Macaca mulatta: one gene and its partners. The protein of the gene in region 6 purifies or fractionates together with the protein of the main gene of each other region. This does not show direct contact. Links are inferred from orthologs where the notes say so. Each region holds a gene or a part of one and is shown on either strand. Other genes may lie near its edges.

What was found.
Region 1: the proteins of DDX6 (region 6) and MCRIP1 purify together in Homo sapiens (affinity purification with mass spectrometry; 3 studies listed by BioGRID and IntAct, with this or other methods). This does not show direct contact. The link is inferred for Macaca mulatta from reciprocal best matches to the Homo sapiens genes DDX6 and MCRIP1.
Region 2: the proteins of DDX6 (region 6) and DCP1B purify together in Homo sapiens (affinity purification with mass spectrometry; 6 studies listed by BioGRID and IntAct, counting the BioPlex papers as one, with this or other methods). This does not show direct contact. The link is inferred for Macaca mulatta from reciprocal best matches to the Homo sapiens genes DDX6 and DCP1B.
Region 3: the proteins of DDX6 (region 6) and LSM12 purify together in Homo sapiens (affinity purification with mass spectrometry; 5 studies listed by BioGRID and IntAct, with this or other methods). This does not show direct contact. The link is inferred for Macaca mulatta from reciprocal best matches to the Homo sapiens genes DDX6 and LSM12.
Region 4: the proteins of DDX6 (region 6) and ATXN2L purify together in Homo sapiens (affinity purification with mass spectrometry; 6 studies listed by BioGRID and IntAct, with this or other methods). This does not show direct contact. The link is inferred for Macaca mulatta from reciprocal best matches to the Homo sapiens genes DDX6 and ATXN2L.
Region 5: the proteins of DDX6 (region 6) and G3BP2 purify together in Homo sapiens (affinity purification with mass spectrometry; 3 studies listed by BioGRID and IntAct, with this or other methods). This does not show direct contact. The link is inferred for Macaca mulatta from reciprocal best matches to the Homo sapiens genes DDX6 and G3BP2.
Region 7: the proteins of DDX6 (region 6) and AGO2 purify together in Homo sapiens (affinity purification with western blotting; 5 studies listed by BioGRID and IntAct, with this or other methods). This does not show direct contact. The link is inferred for Macaca mulatta from reciprocal best matches to the Homo sapiens genes DDX6 and AGO2.

The regions. Positions count from the first base shown.
Region 1 is NC_133421.1:91,485,787-91,489,823, reverse strand, and holds the start of MCRIP1 (mapk-regulated corepressor-interacting protein 1), read left to right. Parts: upstream 1-1,237; 5' UTR 1,238-1,294; intron 1,295-4,037. Other genes in the region: PPP1R27 (protein phosphatase 1 regulatory subunit 27), read left to right, coding at 1-14, 680-803. UniProt on the Homo sapiens protein: The phosphorylation status of MCRIP1 functions as a molecular switch to regulate epithelial-mesenchymal transition. Unphosphorylated MCRIP1 binds to and inhibits the transcriptional corepressor CTBP(s).
Region 2 is NC_133416.1:2,872,238-2,876,253, reverse strand, and holds the start of DCP1B (mRNA-decapping enzyme 1B), read left to right. Parts: upstream 1-1,216; 5' UTR 1,217-1,381; coding exon 1,382-1,531; intron 1,532-4,016. UniProt on the Homo sapiens protein: May play a role in the degradation of mRNAs, both in normal mRNA turnover and in nonsense-mediated mRNA decay. May remove the 7-methyl guanine cap structure from mRNA molecules, yielding a 5'-phosphorylated mRNA fragment and 7m-GDP.
Region 3 is NC_133421.1:68,427,636-68,431,607, reverse strand, and holds the start of LSM12 (protein LSM12), read left to right. Parts: upstream 1-1,172; 5' UTR 1,173-1,184; coding exon 1,185-1,308; intron 1,309-3,972. UniProt on the Homo sapiens protein: Nicotinic acid adenine dinucleotide phosphate (NAADP) binding protein. Confers NAADP sensitivity to the two pore channel complex (TPCs) by acting as TPC accessory protein necessary for NAADP-evoked Ca(2+) release.
Region 4 is NC_133425.1:28,113,749-28,117,248, reverse strand, and holds part of ATXN2L (ataxin-2-like protein), read left to right. Parts: intron 1-171; coding exon 172-322; intron 323-791; coding exon 792-916; intron 917-3,331; coding exon 3,332-3,423; intron 3,424-3,500. UniProt on the Homo sapiens protein: Involved in the regulation of stress granule and P-body formation.
Region 5 is NC_133410.1:58,136,092-58,140,329, forward strand, and holds the start of G3BP2 (ras GTPase-activating protein-binding protein 2), read left to right. Parts: upstream 1-1,438; 5' UTR 1,439-1,690; intron 1,691-1,748; exon of another isoform or gene 1,749-1,879; intron 1,880-1,934; exon of another isoform or gene 1,935-1,965; intron 1,966-4,238.
Region 6 is NC_133419.1:119,438,972-119,442,471, reverse strand, and holds part of DDX6 (putative ATP-dependent RNA helicase DDX6), read left to right. Parts: intron 1-1,470; coding exon 1,471-1,593; intron 1,594-2,611; coding exon 2,612-2,740; intron 2,741-3,500.
Region 7 is NC_133413.1:150,854,864-150,858,363, reverse strand, and holds the end of AGO2 (protein argonaute-2), read left to right. Parts: intron 1-1,920; coding exon 1,921-2,120; intron 2,121-2,378; coding exon 2,379-2,497; 3' UTR 2,498-3,196; downstream 3,197-3,500.

The DNA of each region.
Region 1 (4,037 bases), on a different chromosome or scaffold from region 6:
CCCGACATAGCCAGGTGAGGGGGCCTGGGTCTACACAGGGTTGAACTCGACCCCTCCAGGCCTCAGTGGGCCCCCAGGATGTGGGCCCCAAAATGTGGTCCTGGTGGTGTAGGCAAGAACCATACGGGCTGAGCACGGTGCCTCAGGCGTGTAATCCCAGCCCTTTGGGAGGCTGAGGTGGGCGGATCACCTGAGGTCAGGAGTTCGTGACCAGCCTGGCCAACATGGAGAAACCCCTTCACTACTAAAAATACAAAACTAGCCGGGCGTGGTGGCGCATGCCTGTAATCCCAGATACTCAAGGCTGAGGCAGGAGAATTGCTTGAACCCGGGAGGCGGAGGTTGCCCTGAGTGGAGATCATGCCACTGCACTCCAGCCTGGGTGATAAGAGCGAAACTCTGTCTCTAAAAACAGCGGCAACAACAACAAAAAAAGAACCCTACAAACCCTAAAAGCTTCTGGAATCCTGTTTCTGCCCTTGTCCTCAACAGAGCCAACTTGAAAAGCTGGCCACAGCTTCCAAAGGGTCAGGTTTCTTCCTCCTCACCCTACCCGGACCTTGAGACCCGAAGGTGGGGGACACACAGGTGACCCCAGGACTCTGGCCCTCTGACCTGGGTGGGGACGAGCACTCTCCCGGCTCCTCCCCGCTTCAGCCAGGGCGACTTTGCACCCCAGGTACCTTATCTCCCTGGGAGCGGACAGGGACGCAGCCAACGACGATGGCGACCTGCCCTCCGACCTCATCGACCCGGACTTCAAGGAGCTGGTGGAGCTCTTCAAAGGGGCCACGATGGACTGAGCCAGCTCTGCCCGCCCGCCCCCGCGCCCAGGGCCGCCTCCCTGGGGAAGCCGCGGGTCGCCCCGGGGCCAGCACGTGCCCCACCCGTGGGCCAGGGGCGGCCGGACCCGTCCCTCCACGACCCCGCCACCCCTCCTAGGCCTGGCTTTGTCTCCAGGTGAATTTTTTACTGTGACACTTTTTACTTTTTCAATAAACGTGACTCCCAGGTGAGGGGGCCTGGGTCTACACAGGTGGTGCTTGTGGTGGTGTCCTGATTACTGGGCTCCCGCCGCTGCCGGTGGCCAGCGGCGCTCACCGTCCAGGCCGGGCCGGCCCAGAGCTGCCGCCACGAGCCCCGACCCCGCCCGGGAATCCCGGCCGCCCCCGCCCTCCGCGTGCCGGGCGGTCACGTGGGAGCGCGCTGCGTCTGCGCCTGCGCAGCCGGCGGTGGCGTCATTTCCGGCGGGGCCTCCCAGCTGGAAGAGGCGGTGGCGGCGGGTCGGGGTGAGGTGAGGCGGGTGCGGCGCCGGGCGGCGGGGACGGGGCGGGGCGGGCGCGGCTGGGCCCCGCCCTGGTGTCGCCGGGCTGCCGCGGGTGCCCTGCAGGGCCGGGCGGGGCCGGGCGCAGGGGAGTGGCCGAGTGGCCGGGGTCCGAGGGAGGGGCCCGCGTTCCTTGCCCGGCACCTGCAGGAGGGCGCGGCCCGCGGGGCACTTGGGAGCGCGCGTGGGGAGGGCGCGACTCGGACTGAGCGCCTTTCCCGCCTAGGCCGGGGCAGGGGCCGGGGACCCAGCGCGGCCGCACGCTCGCGGACGGCCCGCCTTCTGCCACCGTCGGGGCTCTGGGGCTGACAGAGCCCCGCTTTCTCCCGGAGGGACCGTGCCTGAGGATGCCTCCGACTCTCGGAGCCCCGCGGGCCGGGCCGTGCGCATTCTTCTGTCCATTTTCCGGCCTTGCCCGCTTTCCCGTCTACCCAGGCAGTGGTGCTGGGCCTAACGGGGAGAACCGGGCCTCCGCCTGCCTTCGAGGCACTCACTGGGCGGTGGTTGTGACCGCGGGGGCGGCAGCCACACGGGGCACGGGCTGTGCTTCTCTCCGTCGTGCCCCAGGGTAGCCGTCGCAGAAAGGTGGTCTTTGAGCTGGACCCTCAAGGATGAGTAGGATAGTTATGGGCAGAGAACACTGCTTGACCAAAGGCCTTGAGATGTAAACGGGGACCAGTGAGTGGACTTTGGGTGGGATGTGGCGAGAAGATGTAGAGAGGGTGGGAGGTGGGACGTGAAGAAGAGCCAACTCTTCCTAAAAGACGGGGCTGGATCTGGGGCGAGTCAGGGGAGGTTGTGGTTTGAGTGGGATCAGGATGGGGAGGAGGGCGCACATGCTTAGTCTGTTGCTGCCACCACCCAGGGGAGAGGGTAAGAAGGTGGGGCAACACTTAGAGGCTTTCTCCGGGGGTCTTCAAGGAACCACGAGATGCCAGTGTATCAGCTGTGACAGCGGCATCCTTGTGCGCCTGCTTGGGTAGTAGATCATATTCTAGCCTGATTGGCTGAGAAAGACACAGAACACGAAGATAAAGTGGAGTCTTAGCAACTTTGAATCTCAGAAACTCCAGAGGAGCACCGAATAGCGATGGCGTCACTGATTCTAACTCTGGAACCTCACAATATTGTCACGTTGCTGGAGTGTTACCTCATGTCCTGTTCTTAGGCATGTGGCTGTGTGTGGGGGAAAGAATTTGAGACTGAGAGGCCAGAGACTGGGGTTCTGTCCCCTCCCCACCAGGAAGTCTCTGAAGCCCTTGGGTCCCCTGGAGGAGGAAGGTTCTATATAGTTCTACCCAATAAGACTCCCCTCCGTATCTGGAGGGAGGGCCAGTCTCTGAGCAAAGCCACACGGGTATCAGTGGGGAATGGGGCTTTCAGGGAGTCCAGAAACCTGCTGTGAGGTGGAGGCAGGCTTTGGGGAGGCTGAGGCCAGCTGCAGCATTCGGGCCGAGCCCCAACTGCTGTAGCCCTGGAGGCCCTGGCAGGGGCACCGCTACTTGGTGGCAGGCTCCTTCAGCGCCGAACTGGGAGTTCTCAGGGTGTCTTTCTGGCCCAGCTGTGGGGACATGGGCAGTGTGTGTAAGGAGGACCCAGTGTGGTGGCTGCCCTGCCCTTAGTCCCTGACAAGTGTTTGCGTGTCTGGTGGCAGTCTCTTCTTTCTGTCCCCAGTGCTTTTCTGTGCCTCCACCTCCCTAGGAGTGGGCTGATTCTACATTCCAGTTTTCCCAGAAGAGTTGTTTCATGCTTAATAATCAACAGCATCCCTTTCATTCTTTTTTTTTTTTTTGCGATGGAGTCTTGCTCTGTCTCTGTCTTCCAAACTGGAGTGCAGTGGCGTGATCTCCCTCACTGCAACCTCCGCCTCCCGGGTTTAAAGTGATTCACCTGCCTCAGACTCCTTAGAAGCTGGGATTACAGGTGCATACCACCATGCCTGGCTCACTTTTTTTTCTTTTTCTGAGATACAGTCTCGCTCTGTTGCCCAGACTGGAGTGCAGTGGCGTGATCTCGGCTCACTGTAACCCCCGCTTCCTGGATTCAAGTGATTCTCCTGTCTCAGCTTCCCAAATAGCTGGGACTACAGGCATGTGCTACCACGCCCAGCTAATTTTTGTATTATTTAGTAGAGATGGGGTTTCGCTGTATGTTGGCCAGGCTGGTCTCGAACTCCTGACCTCAGGTGATCCGCCCACCTCGGCCCCCCAAAGTGCTGGAATTACAAGCTAAGCCACTGCACCCTGCCTAATTTTTTTTTTTTTTTTTTTTTTTTTTTTTTTTTTTTTTTTTTTTTTTTAAGTAGCGATGGGGTTTCACCATGTTGGCCAGGCTGGTCTCAAACGCCTAACCTCCGGTAATCTACCCACCTCAGCCTCCCAGAGTGCTGGGATTGCAGGCATGAGTCACCACACCTGGTAGAGATGGGGCTCTTTCTATGTTTCCCAGGCCAGTCTTGAACTCCTGGCCTCCCAAAGTGCTAGGATTACCACCACACCTAGCCCCTTTCTTTTTTCTTTTTCTTTTTCTTTTTTTTTTTTGAGACGAAGTCTCACTCTTTTACCCCAGGCTGGAGTGCAATGGCGCGATCTCGGGTCACTGCAACCTCTGCCTCCAGAGTTCAAGCGATTCTCCTGCCTCAGCCTCCCGAGTAGGTGGGATTACAGGCAGCTGCCACCACGCCTGGCTAATTTTTGTATTTTTAGTTGACATA
Region 2 (4,016 bases), on a different chromosome or scaffold from region 6:
GTTACATTAAAAATCCATTAGTCCACCTTGTCCTGGAATGGATCTTTTGCCTGTGCATGATTATGTAGCATGAGACATCAGTCATTTGGAAAATACTGGACCACTGAGTTAAGCAGATCTCTGAGATACTGACACTTTCCATTACACAAGATTTGTTAAAATTGCACTCATTAATATCATCATTGATCTCATCAGAAAAAAAACGTTAAATATTGAGACGTTGTCAAGCTCATGGCAGCAGATACACATTTTCTAAACTTTTCATTCTGGCTTGAAGGCTTAAAAATTATCATTGGCAGCAGTAATTGTCCCTTGTTTTCCTGAAAGTGACAGGCACACTTTATTTATTTTCAGGAAAATGTCTGTCAAGTACCTGTTTGAATAATCATAGTTTGCCCATCTTTCTTTCAAGTAAAATGTTTTATGAAAATAAAAAAAAAAACGTGAATTCGGCCCACAACTCAAGCACAGAAGTATTTTCCTAGAGACAAGTATGACACACTTCATTTTGTAGCAGACGTGCTTTATGCCTATTTCCTATTTTTTTCATGCAGAATACTAAAAAGAATGGTACCCAAGGATTAAGCTTCAATAAAATTTATAATTTTTACTGCTTATCAAGAACACCATCAGGTGACACTGGCTCTCTAGCTTTTTTTTTTTTTTTTAACTGAGAATGCAGGTTAGTGACACGTGCGTACTTTCACTAGCAATACAGTTTGGTGTCCCTGCCATGATTGGGTTAAGCCACCAGCACTTTTAACCACCATTGTCTGCAAATCGTCACCACAGTGAACAAGTCAAATAAGTAAGTCTTAGCATTGTCATCAAATTTTTTTTTTTTTTTTGACCTTGCAGATCCCCTGAAAGGGTCTCAGAAACTCCCAAGGGGTTCCAGGACCACACCACACTTTGAGAACCACTGGGTGTTAGCGCATTCAGAAATCAATTCAGTTCTCTTTCTCTTCAGAGTTCTTGATGCTCGAGGCTTATTTATTGTGATAGGTCTGATCACTGAAGCGCCAAAGAAAAGATATGCCAAGGCGTCGAACACATCCAAGAAGGAAGTCCTACCGCGCACACAGCTCAAAGGCTCCAGCGTGAAGAAAAACAGCTCTTGGAGAAAGAAACGGGATGCAGAGGGCAGGCCTGGGCTTGTCGTTGCCAGTGGCAACGATCCTCAGTGGGCGGAGCGCGGCCATCGATTAGTGAGGCCTTGCGTCAGTCGGCGGGCGGGAGGGTGTGGGTGACTGGAGCCGGAAAAGGCCTCCCGGGCCTTGTGGTCGCCGTGGGTTCTTGGTAGCGAAGCAGCTCGCTCGTTCTGCGATCTATTGAGAGTGGCTTCCAAGAGCCCCGTGCCTATGTCGGGGAGGGAGGGAAGATGGCAGCCGTGGCGGCAGGCGGCCTGGTGGGGAAGGGGCGCGACATCAGCCTAGCGGCCCTGCAGCGCCACGACCCCTATATCAACCGCATCGTGGACGTGGCCAGCCAGGTGGCTCTGTACACCTTCGGCCATCGGGCCAACGAGTGGGTGCGTGCGGACGCGGCGGAGCAGTGCAGAGCAGGGTTGGGGTGGAGGCGGGGGGCGTCAGACTCAGGACAGGAGGACCCGGTGAGGGGGAGGAGACGTTGAAGCCCTGGAGGTGGGTGGATCTGGGGCCTGAGGCCGAAGTTGTGGAGATGCGCTCCCGGGGGTTTGGGGGAAGGGAGGCGGATCTGTGGAGCTACCTGGAGTTGGGGAAAAGACTTAAATCTCTAACGTACCCAACGCTGGGAGACCAGACCGATCGGGTACCGCACCCTGAGAGCCGAAGGAAAGGAAGGACCTGATGCCTTAAGGTCGGAAGACCGATGTGCTCGAGACAGTAAAGCAGAGTTCTGTTACAGTGAATCTGTGGCTATGGGGGAGGCAGGGACAGCAGATGAATAAAAGTGCAGAGTTCTGATTTTGGAATGTCAGTCTTAGATGGGACAAAGAGAAATCAAAACTTGATAGAAGGGGAGAAATCTGCAAGTTGTAAACTAGGGAAACGCCAAGAAAAGAGCCAACCTCGTCAAATAAAAGACAAAATGGGGCAGGGTCCAACACTTAGAAGGAGGCTGATGCTCTTGGGAGGATTATTATACGACAGCCCACCAAGTTTGATATTGGAGGCCATTTGGGAGCCAGATTATTTTAGTGCTCTTCTCAAAGCAGAGTCCCAATAAATGGTAATGGAATGAAATTTCATTGTCCTCACAGTTAGAATGGGGTAGAAGCCTAGAACACTGGAATCCTGTTGCAGGAATTGCTGCTTGTAATTTTGTAACCCACCCACTCGAATGTAGAGAGATGTAATTTTATTTCTTTCCTCATAATGACTTTTGTCCAAATAATATTCATCATCCATTATATATTGCCCATTAAATATCACATATATGATATCCATCATTTTAAAATAAGTTACAAAACAGTATGGAGAACTTAGCCTTGATGAATGGATTTCAGATAAACTTTTTGTGTTCTTCAAGTCGGTTGTATAAACACCAGAACTTAAGCAAGGAAAACATCCATGTTGAACAACTCTGTTTTTTTTTAACACCCACATTCATAAGCCTACTTATCTCCAGTGTAGTTCAGCAGCCTGTAGTTAAAAACTCACCTGAAAATCATTAACATAAAAATAAAAAAGCAAGCAAGAATGGGATAGACAAACAGTTTTGCCCAAAGTTCTTAACAGAGGAAATTTACAGGAATGGGGCAAAGAATTTAGGTCTGCGCTCCTAGTAGCCAAACTCAAAAGGAGAACAGGAAGAGCTCTTTAATATTCATTCTTCTGTAATAGAAAGCCTACCACTTAATCAGGAGAAAGGTTATTTCCCCCTAGTTTCCAGGGGCATTTGTCACCTAGGTCTTTACATAAAGAACATTGAGCAACATAGTAGACAGTTTCCTCCATGGTAATTAAAAGTATATATGAAGATATTCTACATAAGGCTGTTTTGCTGCTGTGTAGAAAAATGCCAAAGGCATAATGTTATAATCCTGTAAAAGTTAATTCCATAGTAGAGAGATGAGGACCAGAGATGTATAGTTGTATAAATTGACTTGACACTGGGATTCGAGTCTGGAGCATCCTGAGAAACTATTAATATAAAGAAAGTAGAGCATTTCTCTTGAATAATAGTTGTTTCCTGTAGGCTTTTGACCGTTATCTATGTGATAGATACCTTTTAAGATAGTTACAGATGTTTATTAGATACCTAAAGCCTCATCAAAAAGCAGATGTGTCACAATGCATTATTTACAGGAGTTATGTTTTCCTGCTTGCTGGACATGTTGCCTTCAGACAGGGTATAATTCACTCAGGAAAAGGTCATTCTTTCAAAGTTCTAATATTCAAGGCTGTCGTAGCCAGAAAAACAAAGAGAGAGACCTAGTTCAGCTGCAGAGCAGTTGCTGGAGGCAAATAAATTATGACCACTGTCTCCATGTGCTGTCACTCTGGGTGGGAGCCATTTGAATGTAAACCTAATAAGAATATGAGAACATTCTTGAGAAGAGAGGAGAAAGTATTTACAAGAAGGCAGGGAAGATGTTAAAGAGGGGAATTCTTATTGCCCTGAAAATGGATGAAGAATGACTTCAGCCTTTCAGAGGAGGAGAAATTAGGAAGGAAAGGTATATAGAAAATGAACTGCTTTAAAGAAGGATTAAGAAAGATTATGTCATGACTGGAATAGGAATTTTAGAGTTAGATCTACTCCCTGTTGCGAGGAAAGATGCCCCCCTCCAAAATATTAATACCTGTGTGTCAATTGAAGACCATAGCCCTGGTATTTTCCAGCTGTCAGTCCTTAGACCAGTGGCTCCCAGCTGGAGTTGATTTTGCCCCCAGGTGACATTTGGCAGCGTCTGGAGACGTTTTTGGCTGTTGCACTGAAGGGAAGAGTGTTAGGACATCTGCAGAATAGAGGCCAGGTGAGCTGAGCCTGAAAACTGCCCTACAGTGACTGAGGTTGTGTTCCGAGCTAGT
Region 3 (3,972 bases), on a different chromosome or scaffold from region 6:
CAAAAAGGAAGAAGAGGAAGTGTCTTGACTTCTAAGAATAATGGATGACTAAAGGGGAACTACCATTTATTAAAGACCTAGTACATGCCATGCACATATACACGTTATCGCATTTAAACCTCCTAACTATGAGGTAGGTATTATTATCTAACACAGTATAGCAGTAAATAGCACTGTCCTTGTAAATAGGTAGACTGTTTTTGCTAGTTGTGGAACCGTGGACAAGTTTAGTCTAAAACGTAGTTTCTGTAAAAGGAGGACATTGATACCTACCTCAAAGGGCTGTTAGATGCTCAAGAAGTGACAATACAAATGCCTATGAAGAAACAGGATCAGGTAATTTGCTTACTCAAGGTCAGGTGATTTAGTAATAGGTTGACCTGGGATTCTGGTTCCGGCTTATCTCACTCCACAGCCAATGTTCTTTCCACTATCACTCTCTAGTTACAATCATCTTTTTTTTTTTTTTTTGAGACGGAGTCTTGCTCTATTGCACAGGCTGGAGTGCAGTGGCACGATCTCGGCCCAGTGCAACCTCCGCCTCCCACGTTCGAGCGATCCTCCAGCCTCAGTCCTCCTAGTAGCTGGGATTACAGGCACGCGCCACCATACCCGGCTAATTTTTGTATTTTTAGTAGAGACAGGGTTTCACCATCTTGGCCAGGCTGATCTCGAACTCCCGACCTCAGGTGGTCCACCTGCCTCGGCCTCCCAAAGTGCTGGTATTACAGGCGTGAGCCACCGCTCCCGGCCGTTATAATCATCTTGTCCAAGTATTGTTAAGTCCTCTGAGGCTCTGATTCCTTATATGCAAAATGGGGTTAATATATTTTATAAAATTCATTCATTAAACTCTTGTGTGGAAGGTGTGCATATAATGGAGACTGCAGCTCTCTCCTCTTTCCCCCTTTCATTCCACGTAGGTCATTTATCCTTAACTTCTAAAATGGACTCTACAAGCATTTAACCGAGCGGACGCAGCTACACAAATATTTTTCAGATTCCCCTTTATTTCCTCTTCTTCCCTAGTCCACCTAGGCTCCCTAGCCACCCAGCGTCAGACCACGCCCCGGCGTGTGACGCAAGCACGCTCCGTGCGTCGCGTCGCGTCGCGGCGCTCACTAGGGGCCCGGCTTTCGCCCGCTGCTGCCGCCGCCGCCGCCGGCCGCGGCTGCACTCCCAAGATGGCGGCTCCTCCGGGCGAGTACTTCAGCGTTGGGAGCCAGGTGTCGTGCCGGACGTGCCAGGAGCAGCGGCTGCAGGGCGAGGTGGTAGCCTTCGACTACCAATCCAAAATGCTGGCTTTAAGTATCCTTCCCTGCGTGAAGCCCGAGTCCGGGCCGGCGTATAGGTGCGGTGGTCGGGGGGTGGGGGACGACGGCGGCGGCTGGGGCTCTCTCCGGGCCTAGGGGCGACCGGCTACCGCGGCGCCCGGGGCGCATGCGCATGGCCCTGAGTTCCCCTCCCCCTCCCGCGGGCCCTTCGGTCAGCTTTGGGGATCCTGTCTCCCCTTGCGGGAGCTGGGGCTTTACCGAGGATCAGTGGGTGGAGGAGGGCTTGACACGGGGATGGCTTTTCGGGAAGAACGTTATGAGAGGGGACACAGTGATTAGGAGAGGGGGTGGTGTTGGGAGGGGGCTGGTGGATTGGAGCCCGGATGGAAAGGAGGAGCGGGTGAAATATTATGGGGAGGGATGTTTAGGGTAAGGAACTGCTGGTAGGGCAAAGGTATAGAATTTAGGAGGGCATGTGCACTGATGGGATTTCGTCCAAGGAAGGGCGGTGGAATGGTGACCAAATTGGTCCTTGCCTGTTTTGGGGGAGAGTAAGTGCAGGGCAGAGTTTGTATCTGAACTGGGGATAGTGGCTTGTTTCGCTGATGCGTGTGTATGTGTGGTGGTGGGGGGGCTGTTCTGACTTTTAGGCTTCTCGGTCATTTGGAAATCGCTGTTTGGGGGATGTTTGCATTGGAAACCTGTTCCAGAGAGGGCTTGCCGGGGCTTATGTGGGTTGGGGATGTGTGAGTTACAGGTGAAAGAGTGAAGTTCTCATGCTGCCTTGATCAGTCCAGCACATGGAGTCCTTTTACGTAGTAGTAGCAGCCTCCCTTTTGAAAGCAGCAATGTTAAATTGATTGGAAAAGGTGGCCTGCTTCTTTGGGGTGGGAATGACTTCTGAATTACTCCAGGAAACTCAGTCTTGGAAACGAAACGCTTCTTGTTGGGATAAATGTGCCACAGCTTCCCCTTTTATGGGAGCTACAGGTGGGTTTATTGGAATCTTGAAGGAGTAATTTTTTATGGTATCTTTTTTTTTTTTTTAAAGATGGAGTCTCGCTCTGTTCCTAGGCTGGAGTGCGGTGACGTGATCTTGGCTCACTGCAGCCTCCGACTCCCTGGTTCAAGCGATTCTCCTGCCTCAGCCTCCGGAGTAGCTGGGATTATAGGCACGCGCCACCACGCCCAGCTAATTTTTGTATCTTTTTTTTTAACAGAGACGGAGTATCACCATGTTGGGCAGGATGGTTTCGAACTCCTGACCTCGTGATCTGCCCGCCTCGGCCTCCCAAAGTGCTGGAATTACAGGCCTGAGACACCGCCCGGCTTTGTTTTTTTTTTTTTGTTTGAGACGGAGTTTCACTCCTGTTGCCCAGGCTGGAGTGCAGTGGCTTGATTTGGGCTCACTGCAACTTCCGCCTCCCAGGTTCAAGCGATTCTCCTGCTTCAGACTCCCTAGTAGCTGGGATTACAGGCATGCATCACCACACCCGGCTGATTTTGTATTTTTTTTTTTTAGTAGAGACGGGGTTTCTCCATGTTAGTCAGGCTGGTCTCAGACTGCTGACCTCAGGTGATCTGCCTGCCTTGACCTCCCAGATTGCTGGGATTACAGACGTGAGCCACCGTGCCCGGCCATGGCATCTTTCAAAATGAAGTTTCCTACTGAGTCTGCTGCCTTTGAGTGGCAAGTATTTTAATTCATTTAACCACTGCTTGTAGATTTCTAGTTTAGGAAGATGTCCTTTGAAACTAATTATAGTAAGAGTAGTTGCTTTTTTTTTTTTTTTGAGACAGAGTCTTGCTCTGTTGCCCAGGCTGGAGTGGTGCAGTGGTGGGTGGTGCGATCTTGGCTCGCTGCAAACTCCGCCTCCCAGGTTCGTGCCATTCTCCTGCCCCAGCCTCCTGAGTAGCTGGGACTACAGGCACCCGCCACGACGCCCAGCTAATTTTTTGTATTTTTAGTAGAGACAGGGTTTCACTGTGTTAGTCTGGATGGTCTCGATGTCCTGACCTCGTGATCCGCCCGCCTCGGCCTGCCAAAGTACTGGTATTACAGGCGTGAGCCACTGTGCTAACAATTGTTGCTTTTTCAAAAAATGAGAGGTTACACCTGGAAGAAATAAGACCTTTTACATTAGTGGTTTGGTTGGAAGGGTCTTGAAACTAGGAAATACTCTTTTTTTTTTTTTTTTGGGGGGGGATGGAATCTCACTCTGTTACCTAGGCTGGAGTGCAGTGGCATGATCTCAGCTCACTGCAACCTCTGGCTCCTGTGTTCAAGTGATTCTCCTGCCTCAGGCTCCCGAGTAGCCAGGATTACAGGCATGTGCCACCACACCCGGCTAACTTTTTTTTAGTAATGACGGGATTTCGCCATGTTGGCCAGGCTGGTCTCGAACTCCTGACCTCATGTGATTCGCCTACCTCAGCCTCCCAAAGTGCTGGGATTACAGGCGTGAGCCATTGCGCCTGGCTGAATTACTCAATTTTTAGTTGACATACAGTAGGCTCTTAAATGTTTGGAGAATGAATGTGTGAATGAATGAATGGATTAACTGGCTGGATCACCTTGGGTGAATTTCCTTTCCAGTGTGTAGTTTTCTCCTTTGCAAAATGGGAAAGCTCACATCTGAAAGAGTAAAAAGAACACTGTGCAGATACAGAGTATTATAGGAAGAACAGAAAGGTCTAG
Region 4 (3,500 bases), on a different chromosome or scaffold from region 6:
CTTTTGCTAAGTCCTGTGGCTGATGTTGAGAAAACAATGCACTTGGTTCTAAGCGTATTGAGGATGTAGTGTTGTGAAAAGTTCGGGAAGGGTTAGAGAAATCCAGTCCTAATTTTGCCTTCACATTTCTTGAAACTGACCCGTGGGTGTGGGGAATGGGGGTGTTTGTAGTTTGAACTAGCAGTGGATGCTGTGCACCGGAAAGCATCTGAGCCAGCAGGTGGCCCTCGTCGGGAGGACATTGTGGACACCATGGTGTTTAAGCCAAGTGATGTCATGCTCGTTCACTTCCGAAATGTTGACTTCAACTACGCTACTAAAGGTATCGTCCTAGGCTCTTACCTCAGACCTGCTCTGTGTGCATAGAGGACAGAGGGCAGTTTGTGTGCATGCAGGTGGAACAAGGTGATGTGTTTGGTTTATTTATTTTTTTTGCCTTAATACCTTTTCTTATTTTTTCTGAGCAAGGTGGGTGGATTTTTTTTTTCTTAAAAATATGTCTTGATGTCTAATATATAATGGAATGAATTCCAGCCTGTGTTGTGGTTCTTCATATTTTCTTTGCTTGTTTTTAATTTCTTTTTTCTTTGGAATCATAATCTTGATAGACTTCTTTTACTCTTCTTTTGCCTCCCCACCCCCTGGCCGTGCTGACACACAGGCACACGTACTCTGGGCTTCTTAAACTTTTCGTTCCTGAACTACTACTTATGGGGAGTGGGGTTGGGGGATATTGGAAAGAAGTCTGTGAAATAGGGCCTGACTGCTGATCTTCACCTCTTCCCCCACAGACAAGTTCACCGATTCAGCCATTGCCATGAACTCAAAAGTGAATGGGGAACACAAAGAGAAGGTGCTTCAGCGCTGGGAGGGGGGTGACAGCAACAGCGACGACTACGACCTCGAGTCCGACATGGTATAGCTGCCTTCCCTGAGAACCTGGGAGCTTGACAGACAGAATGGGTTGTTGACAGTGAGGTTCATTTGAAGGGGGAGGGAAATATTTACTGTTGCCCGTTGATGGTGGTCAGATAACAAATAGGCATAGAAAATAGCAAAGTAAAACTACCTATTCTCATCTGGGTGCAGTGGCTTATGCTTGTAATCCTAGCACTTTGGTAGGCCAAGGCCAGTGGGTCACTTGAGTCAAGGAGTTCGAGACCAGCACAGGCAACATGGCAAAACCCTGTCGCAACAAGATATATAAAAGCTAGCAAGGTTTGGTGGCATGTACCTGTAATCCCAGCTACTTGGGAGGCTGAGGTGGGAGGATCACTTGAGCCCAGGGAGGTCGAGGCTACAGTGAGCTGTGATCATACCACTGCACTCCAGCCTGACTGGACCCTGTCAAAAAAAAACCAAAACATCAACTTATTTTCTTACTATCTATAATTAACCATTCCTAGCATTTGCATTACATTATTTTTCAACATAACGAAAAGTATAGATTATCGTGTAGACCCGTTTCTCTTCCCAAAATCAGCTACTCTGAGACATTTAAAATCTCTCACGAGGCTGAGCACAATGGCTCATTCCTGTAGTCCCAGCTACTTAGGAGGCCAAGGCAGGAGGATCTCTTGAGCCCAGGAGTTTGAGACTGCAGTGAGCTGAGATTGTGCCACTGGACTCCAGTCTGAGCGACAGAGTGAGGCTATCTCAAAAAATAAAAATAAAAATCGCTCATGAATAGAGCTGAGCATGGTGGTCCCACACCTGTAGTCCCAGCTCCTCAGGAGGCTGAGGTAGGAGAATCATTTCAGGCTTTGGTGCACTACGATTGAACTTGTGAATGGCCACTGTGCTCCAGCCTGGGCATCATAGCAAGAATGTCTGTTGAGAAACAAATGTCTTGTGAATGAATATGTTATTGCTTTGTTATGTTTGGTTTGTACAAGAATTCGCTTTTTTTGCGTTTTCGAACTTCTCGTGGTGATACATAGATCTAGTTCTTTGCTTTTATTGTTGTGTAATGTTTTCTTTATATTCACACACATACGTATACGCAACAAATTGTATTTGTCCTTTTCGTTACTCATCTGCATTTTGTTTCTATTATTTTGCTACTAAAAATAGTACCTTGCTGGACTTTGAGAACTTGTATTCCCTACGCACATGTGCCAGAATTTTTCTGGGATGTCTTGGACATAGACTTGTTGGATTTTTTGACTTTTCAGGTTTACTAGTTATCACTAATTTCTGCTGCAATTGTTAGTAATTATTAACAGTTGCAGGCCGGGATCAGTGGCTCATGCCAGTAATCCCAGCACTTTGGGAGGCCAAGGCAGGCAGATCACCTGAGGTTGGGAGTTTAAGACCAACCTGACCAACATGGAGAAATCCCATCTCTACTAAAAATACAAAATTAGCTGGGTGTGGTGGCACATGCCATAATCCTAGCTACTGGCGAGGTTGAGGCAGGAGAATCGCTTGAACCCAGGAGATGGAGGTTGCGGTGAGCCAAGATGGTGCCGTTGCACTCCAGCCTGGGCAACGAGAATGAAACTCTGTCGCCAAAAAAAAAAAAAAAAATTGCAGTTAGTAATTACAATTATTAGTTGATTACTTTTGCCAGCCACATCCTTATTTTTTTTCACTGTTGTTCACTTATTTATTTATTTTTCAGACAGAATCTTGCTCTGTTGCCTGGGTTTTTGTTGTTGTTGTTTGTTTTGTTTTGTTTTTTGTTTGAGACAGGGTCTTGCTCCATCAACCAGGCTGGAGGCTGGAGTGCAGTGGCTCAATCTCAGCTCACTGCAACCTCTGCCTCCCAGGTTCAAGCGATTCTCCTGCCTCAGCTAGGACTGCAGGCATGCGCCACCACGGATGGCTAATTTTTTATTTTTAGTAGAGATGGGATTTCACCGTATTGGTCAGGTTGATCTCAAACTCCTGACCTCAGGTGATCCACCCACCTCCCAAAGTGCTGGGGTTACAGGCATGAGCCACCACCCCCAGCCAGTCGCCCAGGCCTGAGTACAGTGGTGCCATAATAGTTCACTGCAGCCTCAAACTCCTGGGCTCAAGTGATCCTCTCTCCTCACTCTCCTAAGTAGTAAGTAGCTAGGACCCCAGGCATGCACCACCACACCCACCTGTTTCATTATTTTTTTGTAGAGATGGACTCTTGCTGTGTTGCCTAGGCTGGCCTTAAACTCCTGGCCTCAGGAGATCGTCCTGCCTCAGCTTCCCAGACTACTGGGATTACAGGTTTCAGCCACTGTGCCCAGCCAATTTGGTCACATCTTAAGAGTTTTTAATCTGATGGAAGGGAAGTGACTTGTCAATGTTGCTTTTCTTGCTGGATTTTAAAACCTGCTTTCTCCCTCCCCAGTCCAATGGATGGGACCCCAATGAAATGTTCAAGTTTAATGAGGAGAACTACGGTGTGAAGACCACCTACGATAGCAGTCTTTCTTCTTATACGTGAGTGTCTTGGTGCTCTCTAGGTGATGTGTTGGTGATATGGGGTCACTAAGTGAAGACAGGTTTCCAGGAGAACA
Region 5 (4,238 bases), on a different chromosome or scaffold from region 6:
CCTGGCCAACATAGTGAAACCTCGTCTCTACTAAAAATATAAAAATTAGCTGGGTGTGGTGGCACGCGCCTGTAGTCCCAGCTACTAGGGAGGCTGAGGCAGGCGAATCACTTGAACTCGGCGGGCGGAGGTTGCAGTGAGCCGAGACCATGCCATTGCACTCCAGCCTGGGCGACAGAGAGAGACTCCGTCTAAAAAACAAAAAAAGGAACTAGTTCACAGGGTTACTGTGAGCCTTAGAAGGCTGTGTAATTACAAGAATGCCTGGTATATAAGCCCAGTATATTAAAGGACAGCCAGCATGTATTTTGATGCGTTAAGGAAAAACATCAGGTTCATTTCATTAAAGTGATGGTCTGCCCAAATATTTTGCATATAACAATATCTTTAAGCAGTCTAAAGGTAAAGATATTGTAGATTTTGGAGTCCCTAATGTTGGCATTGCCTCTGCCAATATTTAAGGTATTTGACATATTGTCTTCACGTGCCAAATACCTTAAAAATGCCCTTATAGGACTGCGAAAAAACTGATGAAATGTATATGCCTGCGTCCACCATGTTTAGTTCGAAAGCATTCATTAATGTATTTTTTTCTTTACATTTCTTTGAACATTTTATCAGTCTTTCATTCCAAAATTCCTGTGCTATCTCGGTATTCTCTGAAAACACTGCCAGACCTAAGATGCGAAGTGTCTTCCTTGACTACAAGATTTGGCTTGGCTTTTTCCATGAAACAAGGTCACCAGTGTCTCACCCTGGGGGCAAGTCTGGGCTTAGAGCTAGACTAGGACTGTAATCCTGATATTTCAGGCCTTTCAGCTTTAGTATGTAAAATGCTTTAGTATGTATTGATATTTAGCCATGCCTAAATTCGTAACAAGCACACAAAGAAATAGTCTTTTCCCCCTCTGTAAAGCCCACGTCATATTCTTCCTTTACTGCAGGGCCTCTTGGTGGGGCTTAAAACCTAGGATGGGTTAAATAAACAATGTAGGTGAGTTTAGTGTGCAAACAGCTGAAATCACCGGCTGCATTTTAAGCTCGTCTACAGCAGCAACCTGCAGACACCTAGTTCAGAAAGATTACTAAATTCCCTCCTTCCCATTAATAAAAGGGACCAGAGTATCAGTCTACAAAAGACACTGCGTTGCTGCGAACCAGCTCTCGCTTGCGCGATCAGGAAGAAGGGCGGCAAGGAAGAAGGGCGGCAAGCCTGGAGCCTCGGGGCAGGAGAAAGGCAGCCTGCTTGTGACGTCAAATCAGCGGACTCTTATCTTGGCTTTAGGCCGGTTCCGGTTCCCCGGCTTTCCGGGCGCGAGCGTGTGCGAGCGCGGCAGCGTACTGCGCGTGCTCCGCAGAGGGACACGGGAAGGTTGGGCCCGGTTCGGGAGGAGATGCGTGATTGGCTGACGCTGTGCTCGGGGGTTCCCTGGCCCTTTCGGCAGGGGTAAAACAATAAGAGGGGGCGGCGGCAAAGGGGGCGGGACGTCCCTGGTCCTTGTCGCTCGTCGCAGCGCCTGGCGCCCGGGAAGAGGTGGTTGTGAAGCAGACGAACTCGCGGCTCTCCGGCTTCCGAGGCTTCCGAGTTGTCGGAGGAAGGGGGCGGCGAGCAAGAAGAACCCGCCGCACCCGGTCCTCAGCGACTCTTCTGACCTCCGCGCGACGTACCCGCCGGCGCCGTTGGCTGGAGGTGTGTACGGGGGCCGGGAGGGGAGGTCGGTGTGGTGGTCGGAAAGGGACATTTTCTTCGCACTCCGCGGCGCGAGGTAATCGTCCGGTGTGTGAGCCCGGGAGCCGGAGGTGTAGCGGCAGAGACATTGTTCTTGCCGGCTCCCTACGCTGCCGTGTGTGCGTGAGAGAAGACCAGTCTTTCCTCTAGGTGAGGGGTGGGAGGCCGCCTGGGAAGGGAGGTGACCCGCGAGCGTCTTGCGTGCAGAGGGCTCCGAAGGCACAGGTGGGGTTGAGGTTTGTTGGGGATGAGGTGGCGAAGTAGGGGGGCACGCAGCAGCTCCCGAAGGCGCGCTGATGGAAGCTTAATACAGGAAGTGTGGGAGTAGGCTTTCTGGAGGGGATGTTTTAGGGTGCGTAGCCCACCGTTCCTGTTTCCGAATCGTTTTCGGCTCTTATTCCCTGTTCCTTCGGAGCGGGGAGGCCGTCGCCGCCCCGCCCGTGGGGGAGGGGAAAAGAGGTTTTGTCGGCGGAGGCAGAAGCGACGCAGATGCGAAAGTAGCGGCCTCCGGGCACCATTTCTGTGCACGGAAACAGAATCCGTGTTTGAAGGCAGCCGCCGCTTGGCTTACCCAGTACCTAGTGTTCCGTAGTCTGTGACCAACCCCCTCCTCCCCGCCACCGCGGGTTTAATCCGAACGTGTTCGGATACTGGAACTGTAACGTGCGCCTTCTTCGTCCCCCTCTCATGCAGACGATCCCTTATTTACCCGGGAATGACTTTTGAGGGATGGGTTCCCGCTTTTTGGGGGTGGGGGGACAGAAAGGAACATAAACTTCCCTATATTGTGTTGATTTTGTTTGTGGAATCTTATAGAATTTTCCCTGCGTCTCTAAAAGCAGATTTCTTAAGATGGCCCTGTGCCGCTTTGGGGCGAATATAGATTTTCGTCTACAATTTCCTGCATAGAACAGTTTTTTTCCCCGAGACATACTTAATGTTGTAACGGATTTGGGGTGGGGGGGTGGGAGAGTGCCTTTTCCTTCCTAACAACAACAACAAAAAAGGCACGTGCACTTTTAGCTGGAATAGTAAAGTTGTCCTTTTCTTCCCCTGTGATTGTTGTGGGATATTAACTTGGATTAAGATACTGTGGTTTTAGGTTCAAGGCTCCGTACCTTGTTCTAGTCTTTCAAACGTTAGCGTTGCAGGTACCTGGATCTAGGAACCATTAACTGCCGTTAAGAGAGCCCCGGTGTACTAGAGTGGGAGATGATGGCAATTCTTCTCCAGCTCCATATTTGGCAGTTAATATAGCCTTAGGCATGTGAACAAAGTTTCTAAGTAAACTTTTGGCCTGTTAGGATCCAGTGGTCCTTTTGATAATCCAAGATTCCTGGTCTTAGGAGATACACGGTACGAGGCGTTTGAACCTCTTAGGATTGATTTACCGTTTCTTTAGCAGTAGTTACATTTTTCTTAAATTTTTAAGATTACTCATATGGGCCTTTATGTTATGATTTAATCTTTACAAACTAACTCTGAAAAGCAGTCAAGGAATTGTAGGAATAATAAGGACCTAGAATGAATTGCTTACTAAGAGCTCAGATTGATATTCAGGGTCGAAATATTAGTAATAGTGAAAAAACATCAAGAGTGAGCCAGAATGCTTGTGGGATGGATGGGGATAAAAATTAAAAGGTAAAGAAGAAAACACGTTATTTGATAATTTCGTGGAGTAACTAACTTAACTGTTCAGTTAGCAGCTAAGCAGTTGATTTGTCAGCAGGCAACTCCTGGTTTGAAGAAAGTGTTGGCACTGCCTCTTTAGATTCTGAAAACTTCCCTTCCTTATCCTGCAAAATTATCGCTGTTTATTACCCATAATTAGGATTTAACATTTTCCCCCTAGATTGCTTTGAAGAGACTTTCCACATATTTTGAGTGAATGTGGAGACAGTGAATGAGTCCTTTTCAATGTTGATGAAAGGCAAAAACTAAAGTGTTGCGTCTGGACTTAAATTCAGTAGGATTTAATGGACAAACATGACTTAGTTACTCTCCACTGGTAGACACTTGTTTAATATCCGATAGAATAAATTGGTCCAACTCCCTAGCCTACCTTCAGAAGCAATAGAATTAGTTTCTTGACTGTTGTGTTTCCACTTACTTTTATCTTCTAATTTCCAAGTATTTTACCCTATCTTGAAACCATAGGTGTATTGAAAATGATTCTTGGGTTTTCTGTTACTGGCCTGCCGTATTCCTTTGCTTTTCACTCTTCTCAACAGTTTCACGTAAGCTAACAATTGCTTGTTTAAAATTAATTTTTGTATTGTTGGAAGAGCTGGCTGCTCTTCCAAAGCGGTTGTTCCTAACCAAAATGTAGTGAAAACATCACTAGAGTCAGGAGACCTGATTTCGAGTCCTCTTTTTTTTTTTTTACTGTAACTGGGGGACCCCAAACACCTTTCCTTAGGCTCTCTAAACATCCTTTTCTGTAAATAAAGATAATGCCCTATCTATTTTAAAGACACAAAGGAAAATAGTAGGTTACTTGTTAAACGTT
Region 6 (3,500 bases):
TACTATAGTATGTAGACATCCAGATTTTAATTTGCTTATAAAATATGTTTTATACTTCAGATGCAGTAGTTAGGCATTCGTAGGAATTCAGCTTTTGTCTTTTTCTTACACTTGCCAGAGTTTAGGTTTAATTTTTAAGAAGAGGAGTGGCTGGATAACTTGAAAGCCGAGTTTTTTCTTTTTTGTTGTTTTGGTTTGGTTTGGTTTGGTTTTTTTTTGAGACGGAGTCTCTTTGCCCAGGTTGGAGTGCAGTGGCACAACCTCAGCTCACCGCAACCGCAACCTCAACCTCGTTCAAGCGATTCTCCTGCCTCAGCCTCTCGAGTAGCTCGGATTACAGGCATGTGCCACCATGCCCGGCTAATTTTATATTTTTAGTAGAGACAGGGTTTCTCCATGTTGGTCAGGCTGGTTTTGAACTCCTGACCTCAATGCTTTGCCCGCCTCAGCCTCCCAGTGTGCTGGGATTACAGGTGTGAGCCACCACACCTGACCTTAGCCAAGTTTTTTCTAAATCCCTGTAAAGTAGTTACTACATGATGTAAACATCCAAATTTTAGTTTTACAGTTTTACAGTTGTGGAAACTGAAGTACAGAGTAGTTCTGTAACATTCCCACACAGCTAAGAAATGAAGGAGGCAAGATTTCAACCTGGCAGTTTAGCTCCAGAATCTGTACTTTTTTTTGAGACAGAGTCTTGCTTTGTTGCCCAGGCTGAAGTGCAGTGGTGTGATCTCGGCTCACTGCAACCTCCACTTCCCAGGTTCAAGCAATTATTCTGCCCCAGCCTCCCAAGTAGCTGGGATTACAGGTGCAATCCACCACACCCTGCTAATTTTTGTATATTTAGTAGAGATGGGGTTTCACCATGTTTGTCAGGCTGGTCTCGAACTCTTGACCTCGTGATCCTCCTGCCTCGGCCTCCCAAAGTGCTGGGATTACAGGCGTGAGCCACCGTGCACAGACAGAACCTGTACTTTCAAACACATATACCATACTACCTCTTTAATGAGAATCATCACATTAAAATTCTGTTGAGCTGGGCTTGGTGGTATGTGCCTGTAGTCCCAGCTTCTCAGTAGGTTGGTAGGCTGAGGCAAGATGATCACTTGAGCCCAGGAGGTTCAGGCTGCATACAGTAAGCTATGATTATGCCACTGCATCCCATCCTGGGTGACAGAGTGAAATGCTGTCTCTAAAAATAAATTAATTAATTAAATTCTGTTATAGAAGGGGGGAGGTTTATCTGTGTAGTGTAGAATTTTTTTTTCCCCTAGAAGATGGGGATCATAGATTCTGCCCCCTTACGCATATTTGACTCTGCAGTGTTGGAGAGAATTTATTGTTTTCCACCAGGAACATTTCATGGATGCTTTTGTTGGATGATGCCTTATTCTTTGACCATGTATTAACCAAAGACCTTAGACATTATTTTATTGTTTTTAAAATTGTCTTTTCTTTCTACTGCAGGCAGATAAGTTGCTGTCACAGGATTTTGTGCAGATAATGGAGGATATTATTCTCACGCTACCTAAAAACAGGCAGATTTTACTATATTCCGCTACTTTCCCTCTTAGTGTACAGAAGTTCATGGTGAGTATAAATCTGTACTTGGAATCAGTGCCATCCTATGATCTATGAGTATGCTTTTATTCATAATTACATCTTCCTATCTGTGAAAATACTTTATACTAATTATTTCAAGCCTTTGGCTCTTTCTTCAGTTGATCAATTAAAGATTTGTTTTACATAAATTAACTGACTTTTTAAGAAGGTTGTAATAGTAATTAATTAAATTCCTCATTTTTCTCTTAGTTTTTGGTGTCATGATGACATAGCCATTGGTGCTAGCTGAATTGATTCCAGTATTATTCTATATACAAAATAGAGTTTGAGTATCGTAAACTGAAATCCAAAATACTGCAGAATTTGAAACCTTTTGAGCCACAAACATGATGCTAAAAGGAAATGTTCTTTTGATTTTGAATTTTCAAATTAAGAATGCTCAGTCACTAAGTGTAATGTGCATATTCCAAAATTAGAAAAAATTTAAAACCTGAAACGCTTTTGTTCCTGAGCATTTTGGATAAGGAATACTTAACCTGTAGTAACTTAGCTGCATTTTTGAGATCTTATATCTTAATTTATTTCTAACGTGTCTTGCGTGGTGACTCAGGCCTGTAATCCCAGCACTTTGGGGGGCCAAGGTGGGCAGATCACAAGGTCAGGAGTTCGAGACCAGCATGGGCAACATGGTGAAACCCCCGTCTCTACTAAAAATACAAAAATAAGTCTGTTGTGGCAGCGTGTGCCTGTAATCCCAACTACTCGGGAGGCTGAGGCAGGAGAATCACTTGAACCCAGGAGGTGGAGGTTGCAGTGAGTGGAGATGGTGCCACTACACTCCAGCCTAGGTGATAGCAAGACTCCATCTCAGGGCAGCGGGGGGAAAATTCTGTAATGACAGATCATATATTTTGTTTTGAAGAGAGTTGCATCCCTTATAGCAAGAGTTGATTAGACAGAAACCTATAGGGTGGGTATATTTTGAATTTGAGATGAACTCTGCTTTCATTTAAGAAGAACCATCTTTTTTTTTCTCCCCTCCCAGAATTCCCATTTGCAGAAACCCTATGAGATTAACCTGATGGAGGAACTAACTCTGAAGGGAGTAACCCAGTACTACGCATATGTAACTGAGCGCCAAAAAGTACACTGCCTCAACACACTTTTCTCCAGGGTAAGAAGTAGGCTTCTGCTGTTGAATATTATCTCTCGAGTCCCAGTAAAACAGATTATTTCATCAGTTTTCCTACCATCTTCACTGTATAAAAGTTCATAGTGTTTCTGGCTTGGCGTGGTAGCTCATGCCTGTAATCCCAGCATTTTGGGAGGCTGAGGCAGGCGGATCACGAGGTCAGGAGTTCGAGACCAGCCTGGCCAACATGGAGAAACCCCGTCTCTACTACAAAAAAACAAAAAAACTAGCTGGGCGTGGTGGTGCGTGCCCATAATCCCAGCTACTTGGGAGGCTGAGGCAGGAGAATTGCTTGAACCCAGGAGGCAGAAGTTGCAGTGAGCCAAGATCACGCCATTGCACTCCAGCTCTGGGCGACAGAGCAAGACTCCATCTCGGGAAGGAAAAAAAAAGTTTTTAAAAAATTCATAGTGTTTCCTAAAAGGCAGTTTTAATTGTTGACCTAAAGTTGATACTAAATGATTAACAAGTCACAGATACACTTTTGAATAGTTTCTGAAATACTTAGACCTTTACTAGGGTTAATACTCATTATTCACATATTCTGTATTTGTGAGTTTGCTTAGTCACTAGAATTTATTTGTAACTCCAGAATTAATACTCAAGGCAGTTTAGCAGTCATTTGTGGACGTGTACAGTGTGGCAAAGAGTTTAAGTCACCTGACACGCACATACCCAGCTGAGGTTGAAGAAGACAATGCTCTGTCCTCTTGTTTAGCTCTCATACTGTGAACAAGTATCC
Region 7 (3,500 bases), on a different chromosome or scaffold from region 6:
GGAGCTGAGAGGGGGTTCTGCTGTTGGAAGGGTTGAGAGTGGGTTCTGCTGTTGAGAAGCAGGCGATGGAGTGTGTGCAGGGTTTGTGGTGCTTCTTGGTGCAAAGCGCCTGTCCCAGTTTTGGCTTGCTTTGCCAGGGCTGTTGAGATGGGCCTGGGGCCATGCCGTGCCTGTGTGTGCCCTCTGTTCAGGCTTCCCTTCTGGTGGGGGAGCCTCAACCACCAGGGCCTCCCGGGCGTGTTTCCTGGGCAAACTCCTCCTTGAACTTTCTACCCAAAGTCTTTCTAATGGGCGATGCTTCTGTGGTGAGCTGTTTATGGCCCAAGGCTGCCACTGCTGCTGTGTCCTTAGTAGACCCACGGAGACAGATGCCCTCACTCCCCCAGGCCCCGGGACGGCCACCAGTCACACACCAGGAAAGGGGTGCCAGAGCATGTGCAGTGGAGCATCGGGGACGAACGTTCCACTGCCCACCAGCACCAGGGGCCTCAGCACAGGGCTAGACACAGAGCAGGTAGCAGGGACTGTGCTGGACAGGTTGTTGTCAGAAGGGTCTGGGAGGCTGGCAGGTGGAGCCGGCGGTGAGGCAGGCAGGCAGGCAGCGGCGGCAGAGAGGCCTGCAGTCAGCAGCTAGTGCTGCTTTCATTTCAAAGGATCTCCAGCCGCAGGAGGTGTGTAAAATGGTACTCACGTTCACACTCTCACTTCTACAAGGTTACTGCTAATGTGTAATTTTTTTTTTTTTTAGACGGAGTCTCGCTCTGTCGCCCAGGCTGGAGTGCAGTGGCACGTACTCAGCTCACTGCAGCCTCTGCCTCCCAGGTTCCAGCGATTCTCATGCCTCAGCCTCCTGGGTAGCTGGGATTACAGGCGCACACCACCACACATGGCTAATTTTTGTATTTTTAGTGGAGAGGGGGTTTCGCCATGTTGGCCAGGCTGGTCTCGAACTCCTGACCTCAGGTGATCTGCCCAGCTTGGCCTCCCAAAGTGCTGGGATGACAGGCGTGATCCACCACACCTGGCCTAATGTGTAACTTTTGTTAGAGGTCTTTTTCTTGCTGTTATAAATCAATTATATAAAAAGTAAGATACACAAATGGCACCGTCCTTGTTACGTCCACTTTCATATTGCTTTATATCTTTTTTTTTTTTTTTGGAGACGGAGTCGCACTCTGTCCCCCAGGCTGGAGTGCAGTGGCACAGTCTTGGCTCACTGCAAGCTCCGCCTCCCGGGTTCACACTGTTCTCCTGCCTCAGCCTCCTGAGTAGCTGGGACTACAGACACCTGCCACCACGCCCAGCAATTTTTTGTATTTTTACTAGAGACGGGGTTTCACCTGCATGAAACCCTGGATGGTCTCGATCTCCTGACCTCGTGATCTGCCCGTGTCGGCCTCCCAAAGTGCTTGGATTACAGGCGTGAGCCACCGCACCCAGCCTGCTTTATATCTTTGCTATGATTTTTCTGTGTGTAAATAAATGTGTACAGTTTTACACATATGGGGCCATATACTATATGTAGTTATGATGCTTTTTTTTGAGACAGAGGAGTCCCTCTCTGTTGCCCAGGCTGGAGCACAGTGGCAGGATCTCGGCTCACCACAACCTCCACCTCCTGGGTTCAAGCGATTCTCCTGCCTCAATCTCCCAAGTAGCTGGGACTACAGGCGCGTGCCACAGTTGCCTGGCTAATGTTTTTGTATTTTTAGTAGAGACGGGGTTTCACTATGTTGACCAAGCTGAACTCAGACGCCTAACCTCGTGATCCACCCGCCTCGGCCTCCCAGAGTGCTGGGATTACAGGCGTGAGCCGCCGCATCCGGCCTATGATGCATTTTTAATATAAATCTTCTTCCACAGTATCCTTTTCAAGATTTTATGCAAGTCCAACTGTCTAATCTTCTGATCTGCTTTTAGGGGACAAGCAGGCCTTCGCACTATCACGTCCTCTGGGACGACAATCGTTTCTCCTCTGACGAGCTGCAGATCCTCACCTACCAGCTTTGTCACACCTACGTGCGCTGCACACGCTCCGTGTCCATCCCAGCGCCAGCATACTACGCCCACCTGGTGGCCTTCCGGGCCAGGTACCACCTGGTGGATAAGGAACATGACAGGTGAGTGGCATTCCCGGCTGGAGGCCACAGCAGCGGTAGTTTTTGCCACGGGTGTTGGCAGCTGCTTTTCTGAGGAAGCAGCAGGGCCCCAGCAGCTGGAGCCAGCACCCTAGAAGGCCTTATTAGTGGCATGGCCGTCAGCGTGGGACTTTCCCCTCCCCCAGGTTCCTGCCGTGCCATCCCGACTTAGTTATCGACGCACCGCCTCGTCGTGCATTAAGGCTGCACATTCTCATCCTCTGTCTCTCTCACCTGCAGTGCTGAAGGAAGCCATACCTCTGGGCAGAGTAACGGGCGAGACCACCAAGCACTGGCCAAGGCGGTCCAGGTTCACCAAGACACTCTGCGCACCATGTACTTTGCTTGACATGTTTTAGTGTTTAGCGACTGTGTACCGAGTGGGATTCACGAGACCAGCTACACTCAGACCAACAGATGGCCAGCCCTTCCGTGACAGCCAGCATTGAACATGAGACGTCATTGATTTTATTAGATTCTCCGTTTTCCAGAATGCCTTCCGTCCCAGATTTCACACTTGGATTTTGAACTGCAGACCTGTATGAGAACCCAATGTCATAGGAAATATGGTTTGCTAAAATCTATAAGCTGCTTATTAAAATAGAGTCCCGTGTTTCCTAAAAATCTAAAACCAGTCTATGAACTCAGGGCTTTAAAACATTTTTAATTTATTTGGTCATTCAATTTACTTGTTTTTAATACATGATTCTCTATGAAATTGATGGGCTCAAACTAGCTGTGAATCTTCTGAGAGTGAAAGCAACACAAAACACAATTGTGGTTTTAAAGCCTTGAACATTCTGATGTTGTCACTAAAGTTGATTTCCGGGCGATGCTCGTGTGCCGCTGGCGTGGCTCACCCAAGGTCCTTGACCGAGGGCCGGTGGCCATGCAGAGGCCTCCGCAGGTGCCGAGTTCTGCCAGCACTGCCCTTCACCCGGCCTGAACTAAGGAGCAGTGGCAGAAGGTGGGCCCCGTGTGTTTACAGCATTTCCAGGTCCAGAGAGGTTGGCAGACAAGTGCCATTTTAATAAAAATGTATTTAAAAAAAGAAAAAAGACAATATACTGACAGTCTAATCATCAGATTTGTCCTATAGGACTGTGACATTTATTTTCCAAAGTTTTTAAAGAATACGGGTCTGTGGTGATGAATACAGTACAATCCTTTTTCACTGTTATGTCTTTAATGTAAGAGAAAATTATATATATCTGGTTTGCAGTATTAATGTGATAGATAGATGCTGTTTTTTTCATTTTATTGACTATGGGGTGCTTCTGTGATCTGTTTAGCATATCAAGAGTGTTTTGGAGCCTGGAGACGAGACTGCCTCTCAGTTCTTAGTGCTTAAGGACAGGAATA